7 linked regions of the Macaca fascicularis genome follow. The protein of the gene in region 7 interacts with the protein of the main gene of each other region in a pairwise test. Links are inferred from orthologs where the notes say so. Each region holds a gene or a part of one and is shown on either strand. Other genes may lie near its edges.

The links.
Region 1: the proteins of EXOSC8 (region 7) and OTUD4 interact in binary tests that used the Homo sapiens proteins (3 or more experiments, as listed by UniProt). The two-hybrid records come from large-scale screens. The link is inferred for Macaca fascicularis from reciprocal best matches to the Homo sapiens genes EXOSC8 and OTUD4.
Region 2: the proteins of EXOSC8 (region 7) and SLAIN1 interact in binary tests that used the Homo sapiens proteins (3 or more experiments, as listed by UniProt). The link is inferred for Macaca fascicularis from reciprocal best matches to the Homo sapiens genes EXOSC8 and SLAIN1.
Region 3: the proteins of EXOSC8 (region 7) and EXOSC10 interact in binary tests that used the Homo sapiens proteins (3 or more experiments, as listed by UniProt). The link is inferred for Macaca fascicularis from reciprocal best matches to the Homo sapiens genes EXOSC8 and EXOSC10.
Region 4: the proteins of EXOSC8 (region 7) and POLDIP3 interact in a two-hybrid assay, tested with the Homo sapiens proteins (2 studies listed by BioGRID). The link is inferred for Macaca fascicularis from reciprocal best matches to the Homo sapiens genes EXOSC8 and POLDIP3.
Region 5: the proteins of EXOSC8 (region 7) and TXNDC17 interact in binary tests that used the Homo sapiens proteins (3 or more experiments, as listed by UniProt). The two-hybrid records come from large-scale screens. The link is inferred for Macaca fascicularis from reciprocal best matches to the Homo sapiens genes EXOSC8 and TXNDC17.
Region 6: the proteins of EXOSC8 (region 7) and DUSP23 interact in binary tests that used the Homo sapiens proteins (3 or more experiments, as listed by UniProt). The two-hybrid records come from large-scale screens. The link is inferred for Macaca fascicularis from reciprocal best matches to the Homo sapiens genes EXOSC8 and DUSP23.

The regions. Positions count from the first base shown.
Region 1 is NC_088379.1:150,079,105-150,083,186, reverse strand, and holds the start of OTUD4 (OTU domain-containing protein 4), read left to right. Parts: upstream 1-1,282; 5' UTR 1,283-1,900; coding exon 1,901-2,059; intron 2,060-4,082.
Region 2 is NC_088391.1:68,708,029-68,712,162, reverse strand, and holds the start of SLAIN1 (SLAIN motif-containing protein 1), read right to left. Parts: upstream 2,813-4,134; 5' UTR 2,586-2,812; coding exon 1,951-2,585; intron 1,586-1,950; exon of another isoform or gene 1,561-1,585; coding exon of another isoform or gene 1,427-1,560; intron 1-1,426. UniProt on the Homo sapiens protein: Microtubule plus-end tracking protein that might be involved in the regulation of cytoplasmic microtubule dynamics, microtubule organization and microtubule elongation.
Region 3 is NC_088375.1:223,710,575-223,714,097, forward strand, and holds part of EXOSC10 (exosome complex component 10), read left to right. Parts: intron 1-2,140; coding exon 2,141-2,245; intron 2,246-2,552; coding exon 2,553-2,718; intron 2,719-3,042; coding exon 3,043-3,157; intron 3,158-3,523. UniProt on the Homo sapiens protein: Catalytic component of the RNA exosome complex which has 3'->5' exoribonuclease activity and participates in a multitude of cellular RNA processing and degradation events.
Region 4 is NC_088384.1:8,974,591-8,978,872, forward strand, and holds the start of POLDIP3 (polymerase delta-interacting protein 3), read left to right. Parts: upstream 1-1,480; 5' UTR 1,481-1,580; coding exon 1,581-1,639; intron 1,640-4,282. UniProt on the Homo sapiens protein: Is involved in regulation of translation. Is preferentially associated with CBC-bound spliced mRNA-protein complexes during the pioneer round of mRNA translation. Contributes to enhanced translational efficiency of spliced over nonspliced mRNAs.
Region 5 is NC_088390.1:6,683,018-6,687,334, forward strand, and holds the start of TXNDC17 (thioredoxin domain-containing protein 17), read left to right. Parts: upstream 1-1,509; 5' UTR 1,510-1,548; coding exon 1,549-1,693; intron 1,694-2,218; coding exon 2,219-2,300; intron 2,301-2,708; coding exon 2,709-2,784; intron 2,785-3,416; coding exon 3,417-3,485; 3' UTR 3,486-4,317. Other genes in the region: uncharacterized protein, read right to left, coding at 1-794. UniProt on the Homo sapiens protein: Disulfide reductase. May participate in various redox reactions through the reversible oxidation of its active center dithiol to a disulfide and catalyze dithiol-disulfide exchange reactions. Modulates TNF-alpha signaling and NF-kappa-B activation.
Region 6 is NC_088375.1:101,284,535-101,287,927, reverse strand, and holds DUSP23 (dual specificity protein phosphatase 23), read left to right. Parts: upstream 1-1,269; 5' UTR 1,270-1,317; intron 1,318-1,422; 5' UTR 1,423-1,424; coding exon 1,425-1,691; intron 1,692-2,503; coding exon 2,504-2,689; 3' UTR 2,690-2,892; downstream 2,893-3,393. UniProt on the Homo sapiens protein: Protein phosphatase that mediates dephosphorylation of proteins phosphorylated on Tyr and Ser/Thr residues. In vitro, it can dephosphorylate p44-ERK1 (MAPK3) but not p54 SAPK-beta (MAPK10) in vitro. Able to enhance activation of JNK and p38 (MAPK14).
Region 7 is NC_088391.1:16,553,987-16,557,147, forward strand, and holds the end of EXOSC8 (exosome complex component RRP43), read left to right. Parts: intron 1-9; coding exon 10-106; intron 107-1,268; coding exon 1,269-1,389; intron 1,390-1,981; coding exon 1,982-2,088; intron 2,089-2,436; coding exon 2,437-2,552; 3' UTR 2,553-2,650; downstream 2,651-3,161. Other genes in the region: SUPT20H (transcription factor SPT20 homolog), read right to left, coding at 2,916-3,053. UniProt on the Homo sapiens protein: Non-catalytic component of the RNA exosome complex which has 3'->5' exoribonuclease activity and participates in a multitude of cellular RNA processing and degradation events.

The sequences.
Region 1 (4,082 bases), on a different chromosome or scaffold from region 7:
GAGCCACCACGCCCGGCTGAAACTATATTTTTCTAAACGTGATTTCAAAGTGTTTCTTTGCTACAACAAGTAAATTTGAGGCAGGGACATTTTTTTCATTTGGGTAACCATGACGTTTGTATTCTCTAAAAGAAGCATCATTTGAGATAGAATAAACATTAAGAAATCAATTACGCTCCTAGGAGAGTGAATATGAGACTGATTGCTTGCACTGAAAATACTGAAAAGTGTCTAAAGTAGTTTTTAAAAAACTTATGTCGTTGGACCCTCACCACCTGGCCTGCCTTGCCCCCATTCCAACGTATTTGACTACATGTCTAAACCTACAGTAAGGCTCCCTTTTCTTCTCCCTCTCCTCCACCATAGCCTAAAGACTGAATTAGTGTTATGATTAACCATGTATTTAAATAAGGACACCGCATGTTGTATTTTAGCAAAAAAAAATTCTGGTGCAACAGAAGCATGCTGGATAAATTCTGGGTTCTAAAGCATAATTTGACTTTGTCAATTCTCTGTCATTCATCATCGGAGGGTGGCAGGTTGAGCTGAAGCCTCGAGCACTGGTGGAAGCCATGGCCAGTCCAGTTAGCATGTTATCAAGCAATTACAAGACGAATTTTTTAAGAAGGAAAAAAAAAAAAAAAACAAAAAAACCCTAACGTCTTCCGACAGTGACATGCCTCTGAGATGGGGTGCTCAGCTACAGCGACAGGGTAAACAAAAATGTCTTTGGCAAAGCCTTCATCTTGCCGTAGTACGTGAGCTGTACTTCTAATTTCTAATAGGAATCAGCAGTCCACGGTTGATTTATGGGCAGAGTGTGTCGTCCCGCACCGTGCCAGTTCCCGGAGCCTCCGCCAATTAGCTCTATTTTCTGCTTAAGCCGTTAAAGCCACCTCCATGGAAACGCCAGGAGGGCAGGCCGGGGGGAAGGGAGCAGATAGGTGCGCCCTCTGGAAAGAAATACACAAAGGGCCGACACTGCGCCGCCGTGTCCCTGGCAACTCCACGCCAGCCCAGCGCGCGCGTTTCCCGCCGCGCAGCGGCAGGGTTGGCGGGCGGCGCGCGCTGCTCGCCCCACGTCGGCTGGCAGAGCCCCTCGGCCTGCTCGCGGACGCGGCGCCAGAGCAGCGCGAAGTCCGCTTGGGGCGGTGGCGGCGGCGCCCGCGCTGTAGGGACTTGTAGTCCGCGCGCCTCCCGGGTGCCTCCCCCGGGTAGGCCGGCCCGCGCGTCCCCGCCTGCCGCAAGCCGACTTCCTGCGGCTGCCAAGACTACACCTCCCGCCGTCCTCTCCGCTGTCGGGCCGAAAGCGAAAACAAATTCTGGGCTGCGAGGTGCTGTTCTCTCCCGGGCGCCCCCACCCGCTCCCCGCCCCTCCGGCGTCCTCCAGCGAGGTGGGGAAACGAAAGGCCGCGTCTTTCTTTTTTGGTTTCCTCGGCTCCCGGCGTGGGGAGTGCGCGGGGGACGCAGGCCTCGCTTCACCTGAGCCGGCCCAGCGTGCGCGCCAGGGGCGGGGGTTTTCTCGCTTCACACCGGTACGGACGAGGAAACTTGTGGGGGCGGCGACCCCCGGCCTGGGTCCTGAGTCAGCCAGCGAGGCCGTCGGGAAGTGACTGCTCACTCTCGGGGTTTTCCTTAATCCCGCTCCTCCCGTTTGTTGTGGGCGCGTGTTCGCTCTGAGGAGGCGGCCGCGTGCGGACAGCCATGCATTAGGCAGGGCTCCCCTATGCGCCCGGAGAGCGCGGAACGCTGCCTCGGGCCGCCGCCGCCTGCCGCCGCTCGCGGAGCCCGAGCCCCAGCCCGAGCCGCCGCCTGCCCCAGGCCGGGGCGTCGAGCTGCCGGCGGCCTGGCCATGTGGGGCTAGCCCTTGCCGCGCCTGGCCTGTAGCAGGACCAGCAACATGGAGGCGGCCGTCGGCGTCCCCGACGGCGGGGACCAGGGTGGCGCGGGGCCCCGCGAGGACGCGACGCCCATGGACGCCTATCTGCGGAAACTGGGCTTGTATCGGAAACTGGTCGCCAAGGACGGGTCGTGCCTGTTCCGGGCAGTGGCGGAGCAGGTAATTGCGGGGGGGGGGGGGTGGTGCGAGGGGAGGCGGGGACGGCCCGGCGGGTCTGGGTGGGGAGGCAGCTGCGGGCTGTCCGGGCCGCCCACGGCCGGGGCTGCGCGTGCCCTCGCTGTCGTCACAGCGCCCCATTGTAACGCCGGAGTGGGACGCTGCTTTGCGTCTGAAAGGTGCAAATTGAAACTTCAAAGCTCGCAAATTAACGGGGTGTCTCTCTCCTGATGAAGAGGTAATGGATTGAGGACAACTTGTGAGGCCTGCTCGGAGCTTGTACAGTTGATTTATTGCTGGGGACCTGGCGACATGATATTTTTCACTTCTGTTCCGCATTCACCTTCCATCCCTTCGTTTAAGAAGCACCACGCTCACCCCACTCCAGTAAAACAAGTGTTTACTAGAAGTGGTGGATCAAACTTTACTTGTGGAATATATTTTGGTTTGCTGCTGGACTTTGAAATGTGGGGTAGGCAAGCTTGCCCATGTCACTTGAATGAAATGGGCAAAATGCCGTTTGAGAAAACCAACCTTTTACAAATACAGAATATTTTGAAGGATTTGTCTTTGAGTAGGTTCCACCCTTTATTATGGTCTGCTGGGCTGTGTAGGTATACTAAACAGAACTGACTTTTTTTTAAAAAAAAAGCCTGTTTTGATGTTGGTAGTAGAAAGGGTACGTGTAACTGGAGCTTTTCAAAACCACTTTCTAACACAGTTGCTCAGGAAGATTTTTCTGATTTTTTTTTTTGAGCGAGCTTATTCCATGTTATGTAACACTGTGTTGTAGGTGTACTGTCACCAAAACCCATCCTGTATTGAAAAATAGCTGCCGAAGTAGCTGGATAAAAGTTTCTGCTCTGGTGTGTCTTTCAGACCTTTCACATGTGCTTTCGTTTGACCTAGGACCTGCTCCCCACACCCCATCGCACACCGCTCCCTACCCCCCTGTGGGGTTTTTATGATGTTTCTGTTTTCTTTTCCCTCACCTCTTTTGAATGCTAAATAACTTTTAAAATTTCTATTTGTGAGTAAATCTTTTACTTAACATCTGGAGGCCAGTCTGTTTTCTTGTTTTTAAACATTAAAAGGCAAGCCATTTATTTGCCATAGGGAGTAAAATCTTTCTTTAAAACAAATTGATTTAACGGACACAAACTGTTGCTTTATGTTGTGGACATTGTCATTGAAACATTCTTCCAGAAGCTCCCCAAACCAGGCTCTGTCCGTTAGACTTTTCTCTATTTCAATGTTGCTGTGAGGTATGTTAACACCCACCCACTCCCTCCAGTCCTTATTAGTAGTAGGTAAATAGTCTGCCCCATTTGTGAATTTTCTGAGTCTGTATCTGTCTTGCTTCCTTGAACTCCTCAGCACCTCCAGAAGCTAGGGAAGAGGTGGAAGTGAATTCAGCCCATATTTATTACGTACTGTTAGACCTAGCAAGAGTTTGGTAAGCGAGGAGGTAGAAGTAAATGGCGGTAAGGGAAGCTTGGAATTTACTTGGATTTGAGTTATCTGAGTCCTAGTTTATATTGAAGCAGAAAGGTGTGCCTGATTTCCGTAGTGCATACCATAGATACTTGGTGGCCTTGATTATACAGAAACCTCTCTGTTATTGTAGTGGGATCTCTGTTTTTAACTGGAAAGGGGGCAAGAGCTAGTTTACACTAAGAACTCTTTGTTACATCAGGTAACACATTTTATTGTATTTTGTAATGGGGCTTAGGTTAGGCATAAGGGACTACCCTTCCCAGTTATGTGACTCCGTTTTAGTCTGATGAGCTTAGCTCAAGACCTTGAACTTTGGGAGAAGTTCAGTAGACTACAGGTATAGCCATCATCGCCAAAGGCAAAGTGTGTGTGTGTGGGAAAGAGGAAGTAATACCAACGTCAGGCTTCCCTTTTAAAATAAGTACCAAGGATTTATATTTTTGCCAACAATTTCTCCTATAAAATCACAAATATTCATCATTTCTAAGAAGGAATCAGAGTAAATAATCTAAGTGGCAGTTTTTAAAGA
Region 2 (4,134 bases), about 52 Mb from region 7:
TATACTAATACCACTAAGAAGGTGATTTCTGTTAAAGTTGGTTATTTCAATGCTATTCGGACAAAATTAAACTATTAAAAAAAAGCCTAGGTACCAAAATACTAGCAATAGAAGGATGCTAACTACATATGACAGAAATCCATTCAAAAGAAGAAAAGTTATTAATAGATTACTAATCTAATAAACAAGCAATATCATAATAAATTTTAAAATGCAAATATTTTAAGCATAAAACTGATCCCATATAGCTCCCCATCAAAAATAGAAACAAGTTTCCTTCCACTGTTTACATACATACCATAAGAAAAAGGCTAAATAAGGACTAAATCAACCTAAAATAATTTGAAAGTGGCATAAGGGCTGAGAGTTATTAGTGAAATCTAAGGACCATCATGAGAGCATTTTCTAGTACCACATTCAGGTTGAAATTGAGATTGTAATATACCCCAGGCTTTATGGAAATAAGGGTGCATCTTTGAAAGAATGGCTTAAAGTTCCAGAAAGTGATGAGTTGTTTGGTTTTTTTACACCTTGAGCTACCTGCACAGCTGCCAAAAAGTGTTAAGGTGGATGATGAATACGCCTCTGAAAGGCTTACTACAGCTCCATATATTTTGATTCTTGAATCAAACCAATTAACTAATGCACTTTACAGTTAGAGCTCTCACATGGTAGAGTGTAAGGCAAGCTTCCCAATAGGAAACCAGTAAGGATCTCCATTTCCCAATCCCTTCCATGCAATCACGCAACAGAGACACAAAGAAAGTAATGAAAACCCAGCTTGCAAAAACAGAAAGGGTCCTACATAAAAAGGACCTCAGGTAAAGAAGGACTAAAACTATTCTTCATGCCTCTGCAATGTAGAGGTGAATGCTGCTCATTTTCCTTGCAGGAACCCAAGTTCCATCTTATCTGAAACATATCCTATATATCTGGTGACCACAGAAAATGGGAACCAACCAAAAGAAGTGAGTCGTGAAATGACTATTACCCCATGAGCAAGCAGCAAGAAACATACATCATAAAGGAATTGGATGCCTCCCCCTAAAGTTACCCATTCATGAAAAGTAGACAGTGCTAACCAGATGTCAACTGAATAAATGCTGTCAGCCTCAAGTTTTCTGATAACCAAGCTAAAAAGTTTCCAAGAAATAAGAAAATAAGGCTTCTCTAATCTCACTTTTCTTCTACAGTTTAATTTTAAAACTTAAAGACAGTTCCTTGGTGCCTAGGTTTAAAAAAAAAAAAAGCCCCTCCCACCTGTTCATTCCACTCCAAGAAAAGTCCTCTTTATTGGCACTATTTATGGGAAAGCCAGTGAGGTCACCCCATTTTAAAAAACAAGTCAGTCTCTGAAAATAAGATTTCAATGAAAATGCAGCGCAAAAGGGCACACGACTGCAAAATTCAAACAGTAAGAACGAACCTCTCTGTAAAGAGAGATCCATCACTGCGCGGCTTCCGATGCCACCCGAGGAGGAAGAGCACGCAAATCCTGTCCATCGTTCGTTTAAAACGAAAGAACAGTAACAGTCGCAGACAGAGACCAACCCCTACCATCCCCCGTCATCCCTCCGAAAACACTGAGGAAAAGAGCAGCACGGAGCAAAAGGACCAGATGTCATGGATTTTGCACTTAATGCTAACCAGGAGCTTGGGACCCAACAATCAGCAAACAGCAGAACCCAAGATCGGGGGCGGGAGGCGGGGTGGGGGGGGGGGTTCATCCGCAGTCGGAGCGATTAGAAAACAGGTTTCTGCCTTCGTGAGAAGCCTCATCGTGGGAAATGTCACCGCCTGGCTCGACACCTGCTGGATCGGCCCCTCCAGGAGCGGCGGGGAGTCACGCCGGCAGCCGCAGGGGACCCCCCGTCCGCCCCCGCCCCCGCTCCCCGGTGCCCGCAGCCCCCGAGGCCAGGGTCTCGGGGAGGGAGCGGAGCCAGGCAGTACCAGGTGTAGTCGTCCTCGTCCCGCCAGGCGGCTATGCTCTCCAGATCCAGCAGTTCCACCTCGTCCAGCAGCGTGGGGGCCGGCGAGGGCGGCGCTGCAGCTCCCCCCTGCGGCGTCCCCGCGCCCCCCGGCTCCGGCCCGCCACCGCCCGCGCCGAAGAAGCCCGCTGCCGGCTTGAAGTAGACGAAGGGCGCCTCGGGTGGCTGCGCCAGGCTGCAAAGCAGGGAGGGCGCGGGGCTAGGCAGGCAGAAGGTGCCCGGGAACGCGGGACTGGAGCCACCGCCGCTGCCACTGCTGCTGCCGCCACCGCCACCGCCCCCCGCGCCCAGAGCCAGCCCGAGCCCCAGGCCCCCTGAGGCCGCGGCTGTGACCGTGGCGGCCGGGGGGCTCCGAGGACCCAACGGGCTGCAGGCCCCGGCGGGGGGCGGCGCGGCGGGCGGCGGCGGCGGCAGCAGCAGCAGGTGCGGGGCGGCGGCCGCGCTGGCCGCTCGACTCCGCAGCTGCTCGTTCTGCTTCTCCAGCTTGCGCACCAGCTCCTGCAGCTTCTTCACCTCCAGCTCCGCGTTCACCACCGGCCCGGAGCCCGCTCCAGAGCTGACCCCCGCCGAGGCGCATTTCACCTGCTCCGCCATCATCTTGGGCCCCGAGGGCGCCGCGGCCGCCGGGGAGTACGCGCCGGCGCGCCGGCTCCTCGGGCCACAGGGAGGCTACGGCTCCTTCCCTGCCACCCCAACCTGGGGGGCCGACCACGCGCGGGCTGAGGCCGAGCCGGCGGTTCGCATCAGCACCGGGCCCTCGCCTCCGGCCGCAGCAGCCACCACCAAGCTGATCTGCACATGCTCAGTGCGTCCCTCCAGTCCCCTGGGCGTCGCGGCGGCTCCGGGTTTTAGCCGCGGCCCCGGGGCGGGGCGGGGCGAGAGCGCCGAGGGGGCGGGGCGGGGGGGGGCGGAGAACCGTGGGGAAGCCCACCCAGGGGGCGGGGCCGGCAGCCCTGGTGGGGGCCAGGGAGCCGCACCCACCCTTGCTACCTAATCTCAGGTGCCTGATTGGACCTGGCCTGAACTTTCCCGCCACAGGCACCTCCTGCAGCTGCTGGGACAGCGAACTGCGCGGGTCTCTGAGCCAGGTGCGGGGGCCAGGGGGTTCCCAAAAAAGCAGCTGCAGGTGCTGGCCCTTGAGGAGTGCACCTAGGGCCCGCTGGTTTGCTTCCTTCCCAGCTCTCTGTTAGGCTCCATGACAGCATTTAATACTCACTGACTAACGAATCCTATAGAAAACTTAAAGGCTGGGGATCCTTATTCTGAAAATCGACAAGTGGATAGGTGGAACAGAAAGGCTTTGGGACGATGCCACTCATGTACTCATGGGTAATAGGCAAACAAAATGGTGGGAGACAGGAGGCCGAGAAGAAAGAGAAGAAAGCCCTCTCTCTAAGAGGTAGAGTGGCCAGCTGCTAAGGAGACAAGTGTTTACTTAAGTGTTTATTCTAAAATAGTCAAATTTGAACTGTTACCACCATTGTTTGCCACAATAAAAGAAGAACTGCTTTTTTTTTCATGTTATGTATATTCACGCATTCTCCAAACAAAAGATCTTTGAGCACCTACTCTGTGCCAGGAACCATTCTAAGAGCTCGTGATGCGGGCAGTGAGTACAATAGGCAAAAATGGTTATGGAGAGAAATATGAGTAAAATTGTTTAGTGCGCCTTCTGTTAAATAATGTATGAGTTATTAAAGGCAGTCTTGCTGGGGGAAAAGCGGAAAGCAGAAAACCTCAGAATTCTACCCAATACCCTTTAATCTCACCTGCAAATCTGCTATTTCTTACCACTTGGAAACCATGAGCAAATCTGCTTTTTTAAAAGAGGTTTTAAGCAGAGGAATTTAATCGAGTTGTGTTCAATGAATACTGACTTAGCATTTTGAGTGTTTAACACAATCAAAGGAAAACCTGAGATTATATTATGAGAAAAATTACACCACTGGTTCTCATCCTCAGATGATATACTATCTAGTGAAAGTCCTTGCTAGGGACTTTACATACCAATCTTTGTGACAATGTACCTCGTTTCTCTGGAACTGCTAACACATTGTATCTATTGGTTTTAGATATGGTTTTGTGTCTTCCTGCTCAGAAACACTTGTATCTTCTCAATTGTTAATCTACATCTCTAGCTTCTCTG
Region 3 (3,523 bases), on a different chromosome or scaffold from region 7:
CCTATATATCACCTGCGTGTGCCTCTGTTAGTAGTGCCCAAGCTGATATTTCACGTCTGCTTTAAAGTGCAAAATAGATTAGGACTCCCTGCAGTCTCGTTCTAAACAGTATACTTCTGTATTTAATGTAGGCAGTCCAGGGACTTCTTAGTTATTTTAGTGGCCACATTACACTGTTAAATCATATTAGAATTTTCAGTCCAATTCAGAGCTGTAAAGAGTCAATCGAGTATTGGGCATGGGTAGTTACTGTCCTACCTGCCTTTGAACAAATAATGCATTAATTACTTGGCATGACATACTAATCACCTTTATTGATTAACTCTGTAAAATTTTTATTTTTTTAAATTGTCAAAACTTGTATAGGTGCTCCTTGATTTACAATTGGTTGTGTCTCAATAAACCTGTATTATAAGTCAAAAATGCATTTAATACACCTCACTTACCAAATAGCGCAACTGAGCCTGCTTTAAATGTGCTCAGAAAACTTCCGTTAGTCTACAGTTGGGCAAAATCTTACACAAAGCCTATTTTTATACTACAGCGTTGAATATCTCATATAATTCAAGTAGCATTGAATATACTTCTGAAAGTGAAAAACAGGTTGTGGCCGGGCACAGTAGCTTATGCCTGTAATCCCAGCACTTTGGGAAGCCAGGGGAGGTGAATCACTTGAGGTCAGGAGTTCAAGACCAGTCTGGTCAACATAGTGAAACCCCATCTCTACAAAAAAAGTACAAAAATTAGCTGGGCGTGGTGGTGTGCGCCTGTAGTCCCAGATACTCGGGAGGCTGAGGCACGAGAATTGCTTGAACCCATGAGGCGAAGGCTGCAGCGAGCTGAGACTGGACCACTGCACTCTAGCCAGGGCAACAGAGTGAGACTCCATCTCAAAATAAAGGAAAAACAGGGCCAGGCACAGTGGCTTATGCCTGTAATCCCAGCATTTTGGGAGGCCGAGGCGGGCAGATCACAAGGTCAAGAGATCGAGACCATCCTGGCCAACATAGTAAAACTCCATCTCTATTAAAAATACAAAAATTGGCCGGGCGCGGTGGCTCAAGCCTGTAATCCCAGCACTTTGGGAGGCCGAGACGGGCGGATCACGAGTTCAGGAGATCGAGACCATCCTGGCTAACACGGTGAAACCCCGTCTCTACTAAAATACAAAAAAAATTAGCCGGGCGAGGTGGCGGGCGCCTGTACTCCCAGCTACTCGGGAGGCTGAGGCAGGAGAATGGCGTGAACCTGGGAGGCGGGGCTTGCAGTGAGCTGAGATCCGGCCACTGCACTCCAGCCTGGGCAACAGAGCTAGACTCCGTCTCAAAAAAAAAAAAATACAAAAATACAAAAATTAGCTGGGCATGGTGGTGCGTGCCTGTAGTCCCAACTACTTGGGAGGCTGAGGCAGGAGAATTGCTTGAACCCAGGAGTCAGGCTGCAATAAGCCGAGATCACACCACTGCACTCAAGCCTGACAACAGAGCAAGACACTCTGTCTCCAAAAAAAAAAAGAAAAAGAAAAACAGGTTGTAAGTGTACTTGAAATGTGGTTTCTACTAAATGCAAATCACTTTCACACCATTGTGAACTCAAAAAATTATAAGTCAAACTGTCTTACATTGGGGACCAGCTATATATTTATCACATACGACATGATATTTTGATAGATACATTGATCTATTCTTATATATATATATTTTCTTACACAAATGTCTCTGGATACATCTCTTTAAAATGTTAGGGAATTAGGCTGGGTGCGGTGGCTCACACCTATAATCCCAGCACTTTGGGAGGCTGAGGCAGGTGGATCACTTGAGGTCAGGATTTCAAGACCAGGCTGGCCAACCGGGTGAAACCCCATCTCTACTAAAAATACAAAAATTAGCCAGGTGTGGTGGTGCACACCTATAATCCCAGCTACTCGGGAGGCTGAGACAGGAGAATCGCTTGAACCTGGGAGGCAGAGGTTGCAGTGAGCCTTATTCAGAACTGTAAAGAGTTGCAGTGAGCCGAGATCATGCCGCTGCACTCCAGCCTGGGTGACAGAGTGATACTCCGTGTTAAATCAATAAAATGTTAGGTAATTAACTCTACCTCAAAAGGAAAAATGCTTTACTAGTACCGCTTCTACTTTTAGGGTATTTTACTGGATGAAGCCTCAGGTGTAAACAAGAATCAGCAGCCTGTCCTCCCTGCCGGCTTGCAGGTCCCCAAAACGGTAGTGTCCAGCTGGAACCGTAAGGTGAGGGCTTTTCAGATTAACTGGCTCTTGATGTCAGCTTCATAATAGGGATTTTGCTCATTCTGACATGCATTTCTGTTCTAATTTATTAGAGAACTGGCCACTGCCTTCTTTAGTTTGTTCTCATAAACACACACAACCTAATTATACCCTCTTCTCCACTTTCTGGAGACCTCTACATGCACGTACATTCTTAAGTGAATGGCCCTTGCGATGTTCTTGTCTCCTTGGAAGTCATAAATTGGAATTTACTTTTCTAATTCATCAAGTTGCTGTGTTATAAAGTATTTGTATGCGTTGATCATAGGCAGCAGAATATGGCAAAAAAGCAAAATCTGAAACTTTCCGGCTGCTTCATGCAAAAAATATCATCCGACCTCAGCTCAAGTTTCGAGAGAAGATTGACAATTCCAACACACCATTTCTTCCTAAAATCTTCATCAAACCCAATGCTCAGAAACCTCTCCCTCAAGGTAAATAGTGCATACTTTGCCTGTGTTTGAGTCTTACTTTATTTGATGCAAAAACCAGGAAGGGTGTACAGGTCTCTCTGCCACCCTCCTTTCTTCAAAGGGAGCCCAGTTCAGCTATTCCAGAGGCTGAAGTGGGAGGATCACTTGAGCCCAGGAGGTCAAGGCTACAGTGAGCTGTGACTGTGCCACCACACTTCAGCCTGGGGGAAGGAACATGACCCTGTCTCAAAAAAAACAGAACACAAAGGGAGTCAGTTTACCCCTGTGTAACTAGAAAAGACACGAATGTGCTTATGATGTTTTTGTCACTGCTTGGGTCTCCAGCTCTCTCTAAGGAAAGGCGGGAACGCCCACAGGATCGTCCTGAGGACTTGGACGTCCCCCCTGCACTGGCTGATTTCATCCATCAGCAGAGAACCCAGCAGGTTGAGCAAGACATGTAAGTGTTTGCCTATGTCTGACCTTTCTGCTGTGAGTACTTACCTTTATGCCACATTTTCACAGTTTCACTTTTGTGGAGATATACATGAAAACAATCTGAGGAGCAGTGATTTCCTCCTTACCCCAACCTGGGCCTTAGCAATAAAACCTGCTGTTTGTGTTCACAAAGGGCCTGCACAGCATTGCCTCATAAACCTCACTGCAGTCCTGAGAAGTAGCAGTGATTCTCATTCCCATTTTATAGACGTAAAACGCAAGGGCTGGGTGCGGTAGCTCACACCTGTAATCCCAGCACTTTGGGAGGCTGAGACCGGTGGATCACCTGAGGTCAGGGGTTCAGGACCAGCCTAGCCAACATGATGAA
Region 4 (4,282 bases), on a different chromosome or scaffold from region 7:
GTGTTGCCCAGGCTGGAGTGCAATGGCGCGATGTCGGCTCACTGCAACCTCCGCCTCCCGAGTTCCAGTGATTCTTCTGCCTTAGTCTCCTGAGTAGGTGGGATTTCAGGCTGTGCCACCACACCTGGCTTTTTTATTTTTTATTTTTTATTTTTTTAATTTCAGTAGAGACGGAGTTTCTCCGTGTTGGCCAGGCTGGTCTCAACCTCCTGACCTCAGGTGATCCACCCGCTTCGGCCTCCCAAAGTGCTGGGATTACAGGCGTGAGCCACCGTCACTGGCCTCTTACCCAGTTTCTGTACGGAGCTCCTGATGCCTGATGGCCAAGAGGACTTAACCCCATCTGTTCTAAGGGCATGGAGTGTATTTTTAGAGTGATTGGACAAATATGTGCCGAACACCTACCTCATGCCTGGCGCATGCTGGAGGCTGGGGTTGTATCAATGCAAAAGTCATTCCCTGTATTTAACACTTAAATGAATTAGTCTCTTTAACTCTCCCAACGCCCTATAAATTATTTGCTCCATAATACATATTAGGAAGACAGAGGCAGAGAGATGAAGTGCTTTGCTCGTGACGGTCACGCCGCCACCGGTCACGCCGCCACCGGGACGCGAGCCAGGCAGTCGTCCGGCTCTCACCCCCAAGAGCACTACATTATAAGGTCGCAAAGTGAAGACACGCTGTCATTAACTGAGCTGCTGTGTGAGGCCGGGGACGGACATATCTTTCTGAAGCACAGAGAAGCGGTTATACAGGGAAGTTTGGGAGAACTGGGTTAAGTCCGCATGTATGGAAATTGCCAGTTTCGTGGGTCACAACGTCAATATTGTGGGCAACCTTGGACTGACTCAATGCGCAGTTGGAGACAGCGATGAAGTGCAGAGCGTCCTCAGCCGGTGACTAGACTCCCTAGGAACTGGCGGCGTTGGCGGGAGAAGAAAACAGGAATGAGAACGCACCCACCGTGTGCCGGAAAGAAATAGAAATTGTGCCACCCCGCGCCCAGTCTACTTTTCAGATGTAAAGGGTTCGGGCAGATCGCAACTCCCAGGCATCCCGCAAAGTAGGCGGGTCACCTTAGGGGCGACCTTTACCCGCTCAAAAATTCGTCTCACATTAGCAGTGAGGATTCGGGCGTCACCCCGAATCGTTATTTTCCTTACTCATAAGTTTAAGGCATAAAGAAACAGTACCGCTTATTTCCTAGGTAATGAATCATATTCTCATTTGGCGTATGATGAGTATCATAGTTGACCGTTGAGGTAATGATCCACTTCCATTGAAGTTTGTCTTACTCGTTAATGAAATTATTTTGTTGCTTTTCATTTAATGTTTTTTCGTCGGAGAGAATAAATAATTCATAATGTGCCGACCTTCTGTATGCAGATGAGCAGCCAGCTCCGCGAAGGCTCACGGGGAGCGTCCCCGCCCCTTCCGGTTCTTGCTTGCGTTTAGCTGGCTGTCGCGAGAGTTGGTCGGCGGACGTCGGAAGTAGTTCGTCGCTCTGTAGCGGCCGAAGGGGCGGGCTCGCGGGCTGGGGGTGTCTCGGCTGCTTTCGGCTCGCTCGGCGGAGCAAGATGGCGGACATCTCCCTGGACGAACTCATCAGGAAGCGCGGGGCGGTGGCGAAAGGACGGTGAGAGACCTTTCTTTTCTTCGGGGTTTCGGGTCCGCGGCATAGTGGAGCTCGAGGCGGGGGAGGGAGCGGCCCGGGCGCGACGCGGAGGACCGGGTGCGCCCGCCCCCAACAGCAGCCGCGCTCCTCATTGGCCGGGCCGCCGCCGTCGCCGCAGCGGCCCCGACCGCCCGCCCACTGGCCGAGGTGCAGTCCCTCCGGCGGGCCTGGGAGGCCGACGGGGCCGCGGCGGGACAGGGTGCCGCCTCGTGGACCTGAGGGGCTGCACCCTAGGGCCCCCGCGTTCCGGGGTCCGGGAGTCTCGGCGGTGCAGCCCCCTGGCCTGTCTGGACTGGCATTTGGGCCCCGCTCCGTGATCTCGGGGCTGCTTGGTCTCCACCTATCTTATAGTTGAGGCAACCGAAGTTTAGCAGCAGGGAAGTGACTTGCTCCGACGGCCGAAGCTGAGGCGCAAGCCCAAACCCCGGTCCACGCGGCCTCTGTTAACACTCGCCTCCCTTTGTGCGGCGTCTTAAGTTTTCTAAGCCTGTTCGTATAAACGATGCCTCGTTTGATCTTTCACGGGCCTGTTGTCTGCTAGCAATTCGTGTTACTCCACTTTTACTGATGGGGAACTTGAGGCTGGGAGTGGTAGAGTGACTTGCCCGAGACCACGGAGAACTGAGCGGCGGGGCTGAGTGCGATTTAATTGCTGGCTGAGTTGGCCTCCTGCATGGGCTTGAAAAACAAGTGGGCTGGGCTGGAGATTGGTTATTTCCTTAGGGAGAAGAAAGTGCTTGAGCTGGGTGAGGAGCCATGGAGGTGATTTGCAGTCATGTCTCCCAAACTTCCCCATGACCGTTAAATGTTATTAGTCATTTCAAGTCTTTGTGAGCTGAGTTCACCTGTATGAAGAAGTGAGAACTTTGCCCAATAGTTTCCCAACACGCATTAAGTTTAAGTGTCTTTGTAAATAGCCAGGATGTAAATATGTTAGATACTGTTTTCTCAGACATATGTTTTCTCAGCAGATGTTTATTTTTATTTATTTTTTGAGACGGAGTGTTGCTCCGTCGCCCAGGCTGGAGTGCAGTGGTGCGGTCTCGGCTCACTGCAACCTCCGCCTCCCCGGTTCCAGCGATTCTCCTGCCTCAGCCTCCCGAGTAACTGGGACTACAGGTGTACACCACCACGCCTGGCTAATTTTTGTATTTTTAGTAGAGACGGAGGTTTCACTATGTTGGTCATGCTGGTTTCGAACTCCTGACCTCATGTGATCTACCCGCCTCGGCCTCCTAAAGTGCTGGGATTACAGGCGTGAGCCACAGGCCCGGCCATTCAGCGGATGTTTATTCATATCACCCGTGTGCCTGTGGCTAGGTTTTTCTCTTGATGTCTGAAATGTATCCCTCACCTCCTTCCCCATCTGGACACTTGTATCAACTACAACTGCCACCACCACCTGGTAATTCGCAGCCAGCACTTACCGGGCTTCTGGTTCATAACGGGCATGCATTAGGATTTGTTTCCTCAGCTACTGACTGCGAAAGCTTTCTCACATCTCCGCCTAGTGTCTGATGTGAAGTTGGCGCTGGCTCCTCTGGCCACTTCTAAATCCATCCAGGTTTTGTAGGTTCCTTTGGAAACGACAGAATGATCGACACCAGGTTCTTCTCTCTCTGAGGTCACTCCCCCAGTTTCTGACTACAGGTGGACCGCACTGTAGTCTATTTGATCTGTACGGTTTTGGCTTTAGTGTGTGCAGAGTTTTGTGTTGGGCAGTAGGTGGGGCTGCAGGAATGGGGTGAGGGGTATGTGTGGATCCACAGGAACAGGGGCCTTGCAGTTGGATATACCTGGCACGTGAAACAGTTGGGTTCTGTTTCCCTGGCCAGGGGACTTCTAAACTAGGCAGTTTCCTCATTTGTAATGGTGATTCCTGGTTGAAGGAATTAAATGTGAGAGAGGTTTTTTTTGGTTTTTTTGGTTTTTTGTTTGAGACGGAGTCTCGCTCTGTCGCCTGGGCTGGAGTGCAGTGGCCGGATCTCAGCTCACTGCAAGCTCCGCCTCCCGGGTTTACGCCATTCTCCTGCCTCAGCCTCCCCAATAACTGGGACTACAGGCGCCCGCCACCTCGCCCGTCTAATTTTTTGTGTTTTCTAGTAGAGACGGGGTTTCACGGTGTTAGCCAGGATGGTCCTGATCTGCTGACCTCGTGATCCGACCGTCTCGGCCTCCCAAAGTGCTGGGATTACAGGCTTGAGCCTCTGCACCCGGCCGGGTTTTTTTTGTTTTTGTTTTGAGATGGAGTCTCACTGTATTGTCCAGGTTGGAGTGCAGTGGCACAGCCTTGGCACACTGCAACCTCTGCCTTCCAGGTTTAAGCGATTCTGCTGCCTCAGCCTCCCAAGTAGCTGAGATTACAGGTGCCTAACACCACACCTGTCTAATTTTTGTATTTTAAGTAGAGATGGGGTTTCACCATGTTGGCCAGGCTGGTCTGGAACTCCTCACCTCAGGTGATCCACCCCCCTCGGCCTCCCAAAGTCCTGGGATTACAGGCATGAGCCACCACAGCCCGCCAGAAGGTATGTTTTAAAGTTTGTGCCATGTGGCAAGTGTTCAGCAAAGGCTGGTAATTATCTTGAACCTTTCCTTAAAGGA
Region 5 (4,317 bases), on a different chromosome or scaffold from region 7:
ACAGGAGGAGGCATCCTCCCAGCCTGTCCCTGTCCACAGAAGCCTAAGGTTCTCTCGTAAGCAGCCCCTAAGCCCAGAACTGTAGGCCCTGAGGGGGCCCGAGGGATCCCCCTTGCCTGGCCCTTCACCCAGGGCCCTGTAAGACCACCACGGCTTGTCTCTACCCAGGAAGCTCGGCCAGGAACACCCCTTTCGACAGGTCCCTCTCCGACAGGCACGGGATGGAGCTCGACTCTACTTCCTTCCCCACATCCCGAGGCGGCCCTCATAGCCTGCACCTTCAGCCACAGGTGCAGAATGCTCTCATGGCCCAGAGATCCCGGGCGACCTTTTCCCTCGCAGCCCCGGGGACTCCTATCTTCGGCCTCCTCCTCCCCAGACCCGGTCACCCACACAGCCCCGGCAGGCCCCACCACCTCGGGCTCCCCAACAGCCCCATTCACCCACACAGCCCCAGGGTCCCTTGCAGCCTCGATGGAGCCTGGGGGGTCAGGAGCTTCCAAAGCCTCATTCGCCCCGGCGGCATCGGCTGTCTCCGCCGCTTGTCTCGTCCCCCGCGGGCGCTGACAGCCCTGCGCCCTTTCTGCACTCACACAGCGCGTCTCCCACTCCAAGGACCTCGCCCGGCGCCTTGCACCACGGCCCCGGGACGTCCCTGCGCCCCGTCTCTTCCCCCACGGCCGCCGAACTCCCCGCCCCGACCTGCTGGGCCCCACGCAGCGACCCGGCATCTTAGCCGCCTGCTCTCCCCGGCGCAGCCTGGGCAAGGCCCCACGGCCAGTCGCCCGGCTCATAGCTCCAGAGCAGTTCCCTTCCTCGATACCGCGGCCCCGGGTTGTCTTAGCACCTCGCTCCCTAAGTTGCTCCACACAGGCACTCACACACTCAGCTCCGGCCTCGCAGCCTTTCTCCCTCCTAGCCCCTCACCCATCCCACCCCCGCCCAGTCTCAGGAACCCGCCCCCAGTCCCAGGCCCCCCTAAAGCCTAGACGGCAGAAAAGGTAATTGGGGGGACAAAACAACAAAGGCTTTCCGAGTCAGATCTCCTCTCCCCCAGGTCCATGACTCAAAGCAGCTTCCCAGAATCCCCCCTAGCCCCATCCCGAGCCCACCTGGCTGGGGCGAGGCGCCGCTACCGGGAAGCGGGCAAGGGGGGCCCCAACTAGGCCGCGCTTCCGGCCGCCCGCCCAGTCGCCATAGCAACAGGCGCAGGGCGGCTTGGGAGCCGTTGAGACGCCGAACTACTGAAGGATCCAGGTGTAGCCAGGCGTTAAGTTTTGCAGCCAGTGTCCATGGGGTCGGAGCTGGGACTAGATTAGGGTAGATGCCTGGGCTTGGGAGTGCAGCGAGCGCAGAAAAATCTGAAACTAGAGCAGAAAGCCATGCGGATGGATTGTGGTCCTCAGAGGCTCCCGTACTCTTCAGCGGCGCTGGCTTCCGCAAGCTCCGCCCTCTCGCCCATCCGGAAACAGCCTCGCCCCGCCCACGTGGGCCCCGCCTGCAGCAGCCAGACGTGCACTCCTCCAGCAGCTGCTGCACGTCGTGCCAATGGCCCGCTACGAGGAGGTGAGCGTGTCCGGCTTCGAGGAGTTCCACCGGGCCGTGGAAGAGCACAATGGCAAGACCATTTTCGCCTACTTTACGGGTTCTAAGGACGCCGGAGGGAAAAGCTGGTGCCCCGACTGCGTGCAGGGTGAGGCCGGGATTCGGGGGCTGCTGTCCAATGGAAATGGCAGGAAGGCCGAACCTACGACCAGAAAGGGGGCTTAGCAGAGGCAGAGTCTTGGTTCCAGACATCCGCGGGACAATCTAAGCTGTCCCCATGTCAACTCCTATTAAATTCTACCCCGTCCTGCCAAGAGCGCTCTTCCTTTTACCATTTAACCCGGATGATCTTGGAATCTAGTTCCTTAAAACTTCTCACTCCCCCAGTACCATTAGAGTCTTACAGGATACGTGAGTTGGTCAGCAAATACATGTGCTTTCCATTGTTATGGGCGCGGTGGTGCGGGGGCAAATCGGGACTGGGATTTGGTCCTTACCCTTAACGTGGCTCTAAGACCAGAAGTGAACACCTGACTTCTGCTGACCGCTTCAGTTAGCTGCAGGTTAAAGTCTGAGTACTTACCAAGACTGGGGGAAGGGGAAAAGAACACTGTTTATCAGTGCCTGATTCTGGAGTTGACGTGCGATTATTTTATCTCAACTTTTTTTAAAGCTGAACCAGTCGTACGAGAGGGGCTGAAGCACATCAGTGAAGGATGTGTGTTCATCTACTGCCAAGTAGGAGAAAAGCCTTAGTAAGTGGCAACGTATAATCTACTTCACAGACATGCACAGATTGCAAACTGAGGCGGGAAGGGCCTCAGGGACACGCACCCAGTTTCTGTGTTATAAGGCAATGTCTCACAACAATTAGAAGCTATTAAATACAAATTTAAAATGCCCACCTGAATTAAGTAAGGGTAATTCAACGAATTTGGTCTGGTGTAAGCTCAGAACTTAGCTGGCTTTACTTTTGTATCTTAGTCACACTTTAAAACTTTGCACAGGGTAATTAACAAATTAAGCCATAGTCCACAAGGTTTTTTAAGTGTTTGCAAGAACAGTGATTACTAAAAAATTAAATGTAGGAATATGTCAAATATTAGGCAAACCGTAATAAACCAAGTAAATTTTTTTCATGATCACTTTTTCTTTTGGAACAGTTGGAAAGATCCAAATAATGACTTCAGAAAAAACTTGAAAGTAACAGCAGTGCCTACACTACTTAAGTATGGAACAGTAAGTATCTTTAAATATGCTGGGCCTGTAATTCACTGTCAAAACTTTTAACTTGCTGTGGATCCAGATTTGAAAAGATCTTGACATGTCATCTCAATTCCATTGCTGTTGAGAGTGCTGCTGAAAGTCCATTCCTATGGCCAATCCCAATACACTAATAATGTAAATATCTAGCTATTAGGTCTTTTTCATGTTAAGTCACTCTTTAAAAATTCTATAGCCAGAAAGTAGGTTGACTCATAATTCCTTAAAACACTGACATCAACAGTTGTTTTCTATTTAATTCATAATTCTGGTTAAAAAGTAAGGGCACCTCTTCTAGTTCAGTCATGCCCCTGGGATCCTAAATTAAAGAGTTGAGGGGAAGAAGAGGGCACTGGGCTTGCTGTTTCCTGTTTTAGTCTGTGGAGCTTCCTGGTATTTGGGGTTTAAGTCTCTTCAGCCAAGTATGTTAGTGATTCATCTTACAGCAAATATCTTGATTCTTTCATAAAACTTGTTATAACTAGTTGATAGTTTCTGAATTGCATAATTTCTGTGTTCAAAGATTAGTGTCATTCAAGGCAGAACCTATTCCACTCCTAATAACGTTTTATAGGAGTAGTGAAGATTTGACTGTTCTTCTCTTACAGCCTCAAAAACTGGTAGAATCTGAGTGTCTTCAGGCCAACCTGGTGGAAATGTTGTTCTCTGAAGATTAAGATTTTATGATGGCAATCATGTCTTGATTTCCTGATTTGTTCTAGTATCAATAAACTGTATATTGCTTTGAATACATGTTAGCAATAAATGAGGTTAAAAAACTGGCATGTGTCTAAACAGTAGAGTGCTATTAAAATGCCCATGAACCTTTAGTTTGCCTGTAATATATGGATATTTTTAAGATATAAACAAGTCTTCAGAAGTAGCAGTAAAGGCTCAAAGGAATGTATCATTGAAGGTGACGGAAATACCTAAAAACTCCTAAAGGCGCAGAGCACACCTTCCAAATCTTTCAAAAGATCAGGATCTTTTATTTTAAATTATCTGCATCTGCAAAGCAACTGATATTCCTGAAACCCCTTCTTTGATTTTGGAACGTAGAACCTAACCTCACCACTGAAGGAAGCATATTACCTCTAATCCAGCCTCTGCTTAATTCAGGCAGTTTTGTTTTGTTCATGAAGAAACCGATCCTGAGCACTAGAGGCAGTTCGTTTTGCGGCTCTCTCAATGTGCTTTACTTGGGATTAGGCAGGTGGCGGAGAGGGGCTGGAAAGACTGTGTAACCCAGTGGTGGGAAGAACTCCAAGCTGGAGTCAGTCACACTGATTCTACCACTTACTAGCTGTGTAACCACAGGCAAGTTACCCGCCCCATCCAAACCTCAGTTTTCTCTTCTGTAAACAAGGTTCTGAGAATAAAATGAGAATTCAAGGAAGCACTTAACATAGCACCTGGTATGTGGTACCTCCCAAATCAATGTTAGTTTTCCCAAATGAGCACAAGTATTTGAGGCTCCTCATGTTTGTTCTAAAGTCAAGAGTCCAATTA
Region 6 (3,393 bases), on a different chromosome or scaffold from region 7:
ACCCTCATGGCCAAGTGCCCTGGGCTTGGATCACTGTGTCCTTGGCCAAGTTAACCAACTTCTTTAAGCTTCCAATGATTCATGTACAAAAAAGATACAAAAATGCCTTTCACATGTGGTTCTTCCAGAAAGCGCTTGGCACAGGGCCTGGCACATAAACAAATTCAGTAAGGGTTAACTATTTTCATAATTACAGTTAGTCTGCATCACTACAAGCACATTACTCAAATGAGGATATGGACTGGTCAGATGACAGCGGAAACGGTGTTCAGATCTAGGACCCCCCACCTTGTAAGAACAACACTAATCAACTCTAGCCTGCTCAGGGGACAGTGACCCAGAGAACTAGCCTTGAAAAATGAAGAAATATGAAATACTAATAAAAATTAAGAAAACCCACAAGCGTTTAACCCAGATAATATTTGGGGACATGAGGGGGTTATGTGAAGAGAAAACAATGTTCCATTTAACTTTAGGAAATGGCGGTGTTATTAAAGATTTTGGAGGCATTAGTCATCATCCTTTGGTCAAGTTTATTAACCTCTCCAGTGCCTCTGTTTTTTCATCCATAAAATGGGATTCATTAGATCACCTACCTTATAACTGTGGCGATTAAATGAGTATGTGTTAAGTGCTTAGAAGACTATCTGGCGCATAATAAATGCTCAATAAGGCCTGAGGAGCAACCGGATTGACAGAAGTGGGGGTTGACTGTTGGTGCTGGTTATTATTACTATAATTATTACCCTAGGTAAGTTTTTAATAGTTCCAGCAATGAAAAAATGAGAATAGCCTCCTGCGCAGCAGTAATTCCCTCTCACTGGAACAGTTCAAAAAGTCGCTGATAACTACCAGTCAGTCATTAGAGAGCAGACTCCTCGTCCTGGGAGAAAGCCGATTTGTCATCTCTTAAACCCCAGGGCATCCAGCATGAAGGAGGTGGAACTAGGCCGGCCCGCGGGGAGCCAGGGGCAGGCGCTAGTGACGCAATGACTGCAACACGCCGCCAGGGCGCAGCAGAGCCCGACCCCGGGTTGCCCCTTCCGCAGCAAACAATTCCTAACTCGCTCCAGGTCTTCCTTCTTAGCTGAGTGGGTTGAACCACGCGGAAGTAACCCCGCCCATTATGATGAGCCAGCCAATCACCGCGTGACCTGCTCGGGCGGGGCGGTATCGCGGCGCTTCCCTCGGTCGCTCAGAGCCTGGGTTCCGCGTTCCAGCCCCGCCCCAGGGTCTGGGCCAATCCCCGCGGCAGGGTAGAGCGTCCCCGAGGAGGGCGCCCCGCAAACCACGTGGCCCGGGAGGCGCCGAGGCCAGGTAGGCGGTGGGTTACCCAGCTCGGAGCGGGCGAGGAGACGGGTGGGCGGAGCGGGGCTGGCCAGCCTCGCCCCCCATGACCCGCTGTTCTGTGCCCTCTCCCAGCGATGGGCGTGCAGCCCCCCAACTTCTCCTGGGTGCTCCCGGGCCGGCTGGCGGGGCTGGCGCTGCCGCGGCTCCCCGCCCACTACCAGTTCCTGTTGGACCTGGGCGTGCGGCACCTGGTGTCCCTGACAGAGCGCGGGCCCCCTCACAGCGACAGCTGCCCCGGCCTCACCCTGCACCGTCTGCGCATCCCCGACTTCTGCCCGCCGGCCCCTGACCAGATCGACCGCTTCGTGCAGATCGTGGACGAGGCCAACGCACGGGGAGAGGTCAGAGGGCGGAGTCAGCGCAGGGAGGGAGGGGCCTGGAAGGTCATCCGGGGACGCGAGCGGAGCTGGGGAGACCCGGCCTGGAATAACTTAACTGGGCTCGGGGAGGTACTAGGGGCAGACAGTAGGGCCGGGAGACTGGCCGGGAGACTGGGAAGCCAGTGCGGGAGAGGGAGGCGCTAAACGGAAGGAACTAAAGAGAGGGCGAAGCAGTGCGAACTGGGCTTGAGGAGAGGCGGTGAAAACCAGCTAATACTGTGAGTTGAGAAAGAGAAGGGTGTGGACAGACACCTGAGAGAGGTAGGGGGTTGAAGTCAGGTGGAGGCTGTTTACCATTTTTTTTTTAGAGTAAAGCTGCCCAAATATAACGGAACGTAAGTGGCTCCATGTAATGTTAATTTTTCTAGCAACCGCATTCTTAAAAAGCAAAGAAGCGATAAAATTAATTTTGGTGATCTTAATGAGATATTTTCATTCTTTTTTCCACTACCTCTTCATACCCTGTTGCGTTTTTCACACTACATCTCAATTTGGACTAGCCACATTTCAAGTACACAGTAGCCACAGTAGCCGTGGCGAGTGGTTTCTGTATTGAACACCACAGGTGGCGGGCTGTGCGGAGGCGGGCAACTCTTGAACCAGCCACTGCAGAGGCCTCCTAGCCACCCAGTGCAGGGACAGCCCTCCCTGACTTTGCTGCAGAGCCCTGGACCTGGCACAGGAGAAGGAGCTGTGGGGAGAACCAAGTGAGGGACAGGAGACAGTTGGGGCTGGGGGAGTTGGGCGGCACCCATCGAGCTCCCTCTTCATAGGCTGTGGGAGTGCACTGTGCCCTGGGCTTTGGCCGCACTGGCACCATGCTGGCCTGTTACCTGGTAAAGGAGCGGGGCTTGGCTGCAGGAGATGCCATTGCTGAAATCCGACGACTGCGACCCGGCTCCATCGAGACCTATGAGCAGGAGAAAGCAGTCTTCCAGTTCTACCAGCGAACGAAATAAGGGGCCTCAGTACCCTTCTACCGGGCCCTCACTCCCCTGCCCCATGTTGTCGATGGGGTCAGAGATGAAGGGAAGTGGACTAAAGTATTAAACCCTCTAGCTCCCAGTGGCTCAAGACACTGAAGTAGCCCGCCCCTGCAGGCAGGTCTTGATTGAAGGGGAGGCTTGTACTTTTTTGTTGAATAAATGAGTTGTACAAACCAGGGCACGTTGCATGGTACTTTATAAAGCATTCCCACACATCAACTAATTTCAGCCTCACTGTAGCCCTGTGATACAGGAAAGGCAGATGGGCCATGTCTCTTCTTTGGATGAGGTGGCCAAAGCTCAGAGAGGCCCATCATCACACTTCTAGAAAGTGGAAGGATGGGCCAAAACAGCAACACACGTCTTCAATCCCTTGAAGATGCTGAAATACTATGTATCTGTTCCCTGACAATATTCGATGTGTTTTCTGGGGGAGCTAGTCAATAAAAAGGATTCAGGTCCAGAGTAGCCTGGCCTCCTGGCATTGCCAGGTCTCTGATGCTCACAGGCCAGGAGGCCCCTCCGTGTAGGCCCACCTGCTGCACACGTGTCACCCTTGTTTCTCTGGGGGTAGAGACAGCCTGGATGTCACACTCACAGATAACCACCGTCTCTACCTCCTCAGGGCTGGGCATCTCTTACCAACCTCAGGTGCTGCTCAGCTCATCTGGGCTGTC
Region 7 (3,161 bases):
CTATTTTAGCTTGCCTGGGTTCTATACTGTGATCTCATTTGCCTCGACTATGATGGAAACATTTTGGATGCCTGCACATTTGCTTTGTTAGCGGCTTTAAAAAATGGTAAGCAGCCTTACAAAAACGACAATATTCCCACTAATGGGTTAGAATGTTCTGTTTTGTGAAACTTTTAATGTACATTTGCTTTCGTATGCTTCCAAATTAATGAATGTAATACTGCCATTACTTTCCAAATATAGTTGATAGTTGTATATTCTCTAACTGAATGCTCTTTAGAGTGCTGCTTTGACTGTACCCGTCTACTTAGGTTAGGACTTCAGTCCTTTCCATAATAGTGTTAATAATGGTGGGAGAGGGAGACAAGACTTGTAACTTCTGGCTAGGTCATTGGTGAAGATCTGCCAGTATCCTCATAGTTCTTTATGTGATATTGCCAAAAGAATTAGAATGGATTCTGTTCTTTTTACTGTGAGGCCATAGTAATAGTGAAGTTTCTTAGCAAGGAGTCTAGGTTGACTGATTAGTTACAGATTTCAATAACTTGTGCATATTCCCTATCATTGGTGAATGATGAATTGGTAGGAACAAATAATTGGAGGTGGAAAATAAAGTTAGCACAGCAATATTATAATAGAGTGGTTAAGTGAATTGGAGGTAGAAAATGAAGTTAGCACAATATTGTAACAGAGTGGTTAAAGCAGAGACTTAGGTTTGATTCCTGGCTCTGTCACTCTGTGCTGAAGTTTCCTTATCTATAATAAAATAGGGATAATAGTATTTAGTTTCTAAGAGTATTGATTAGGTGAATACAGTGAAAATGTGGAAATGCGTAAAACAGTACCTGGCATATACAAATTAGCTAGACATGTTATCTATTAGTAATCATTTTCATTTCAAAACTGGGTACAGTGGCACATGCCTATAGTCCCACCCAGCTACTGGGGAGGTTGAGGTGGGAAGATTGCTAGGAATTTAGTTCTAGCCTGGGCAACAAAACAAGACCCGATCTCTAAAAATTTAAAAAAAAATCATTTTGACTTCTTAAACTTAAAAAAATTATGCAATAAGCACTAGGTAGGCATGTCAGATGTTGTGAAGAGCAATGTATATCCTCTGTATTTACCTTAGTGGCTGTAAGGTGCTTTTTAAAAAGAAATGTTCTGGGCAAGTTCAATCGAGGGAAAGGTGAATTAAAAAAAAAAAAAAAAAGCTTAGAAACCATTTGTTTCTTAGAGACTTACTTTACAAATTTGCCTTTTCTTAGTACAGTTGCCTGAAGTTACTATAAATGAAGAAACTGCTTTAGCAGAAGTTAATTTAAAGAAGAAAAGTTATTTGAATATTAGAACTCATCCAGTTGCAACTTCCTTTGCTGTGTTTGATGAGTAAGTTAATCAAACTTACTTTAAAATTTTCTATATTTAAGATTTGGGTAATTGATGTTCAGCATTCTAACTCTTCAGGAAGTGCTATGAGTCTGACTCTACATCCTAGTTTTCCCTGGACACTTGAGTTTATACTTGTCCCTGCACAATTATTTATAGTCAACCTGTCTGCTTTCATAAGCATCCTGATTTGGATGATAATTGTGTTCACTTTACCTGTTCCTTGGTTTACTTATACCTGTGTAATGTTAATTTCTAATTCTTTCACTAAAGATTTACCTGAAGCTATCTTCAGTATTTTCCAAGGATTTTAGCACATTCAGAAATAGTAGAGCAGGGCGAGGCATGGTGGGTCATGCCTGTAATGCCAGCACTTTGGGAGGCTGAGGCAGGGTATCACCTGAGGTCAGGAGTTCGAGACCAGCCTGGCCAAGTCGGTGAAACCCTGTCTCTACTAAAAATACAAAAATTAGCTAGGTGTGATGGTGTGTACCTGTAATTCCAGCTACTTGGGAGGCTGACAGTATGTTTAGTATTTTTAAAGTAAAATTTGTTCCATGGATTGATAACTTATACTTTTTTCTTTTTATAGCACTTTGCTTATAGTTGACCCTACTGGAGAGGAGGAACATCTGGCAACAGGAACCTTAACAATAGTAATGGATGAGGAAGGCAAGCTCTGTTGTCTTCACAAACCAGGCATGTTCCTGCCACTTCAGTCCTAAACATATGTAGATGAAAACTCAGTGTGAGCCTTAAATTAGGGAGGGCCAAATGGAATATGGGATATTTCATTTACCTAATTTAAGTTTACTGTAGTTTCTTAGCTACCTCAAATTTTCTTCCATCTTAATGGTATACGTCAGTGATTCTTAAACTTAAGACATACATTAGAATCACTTGGAGGTCTTGTGAAACTAACTTGCAGATCTTGAGACTGTACCCTGATTTATGTTATCCAATTTTTTTATTTCATAATTTGATATGACATTAATGTTTTTTGAAAAGCAGTGATAGATTTAAAGTATTGGCAAAATAATTTTTCAGGTGGAAGCGGGCTAACTGGAGCTAAACTTCAGGACTGCATGAGCCGAGCAGTTACAAGACACAAAGAAGTTAAAAAATTGATGGATGAAGTAATTAAGAGTATGAAACCCAAATAAATAGCCACTTTTCAAAACAGATTTGTAAAAATTGTATTTGTTAACACTGTGCACAAACATTTTATACTAAATAAATATCAAACTACATTCTTCTGAAAGATGTTTCTATTATTTCTTAGGTCACTTCCATATAATGTATAGTGAAACCATTTTTAAAAAGCAATGACTTAGGCAAACCAACCCTAGTTTGTTAAACCATTTCCCTGTTTTTATTTAAAAATGATAAGGTTGTGCTTCTGTATAAAGTTTGTACATCTAGCAATGTAAAAGACTGACACATTAAAAAAACAAAAAGTAGAAACTCAATCCTTTTGATTCAATGCTCTTGTGTTTTTAAAAAAGGAACAAAAAATAATGCAAGACTCAGAATTTTGGACTGGTTGGCGTGCCTCTCTTCATTTTACTTTTTGACTGGCTGCCTGTATGCCGATGACGATGTAGCTGAGCTGTTTGTGCTGCTGCTGCTGCCATAGCCATTTGATGCTGCAAGAATCGCAACTGCTGCAAAAGGGAGGGAAAAAAATCGAGTTATGTTAAATGCAGGCAGGTGTGGAAAGGTGCTTTTCCTGAGAGTGACGAAACAACACAACTGAAAAAGGGAGAAAGCAC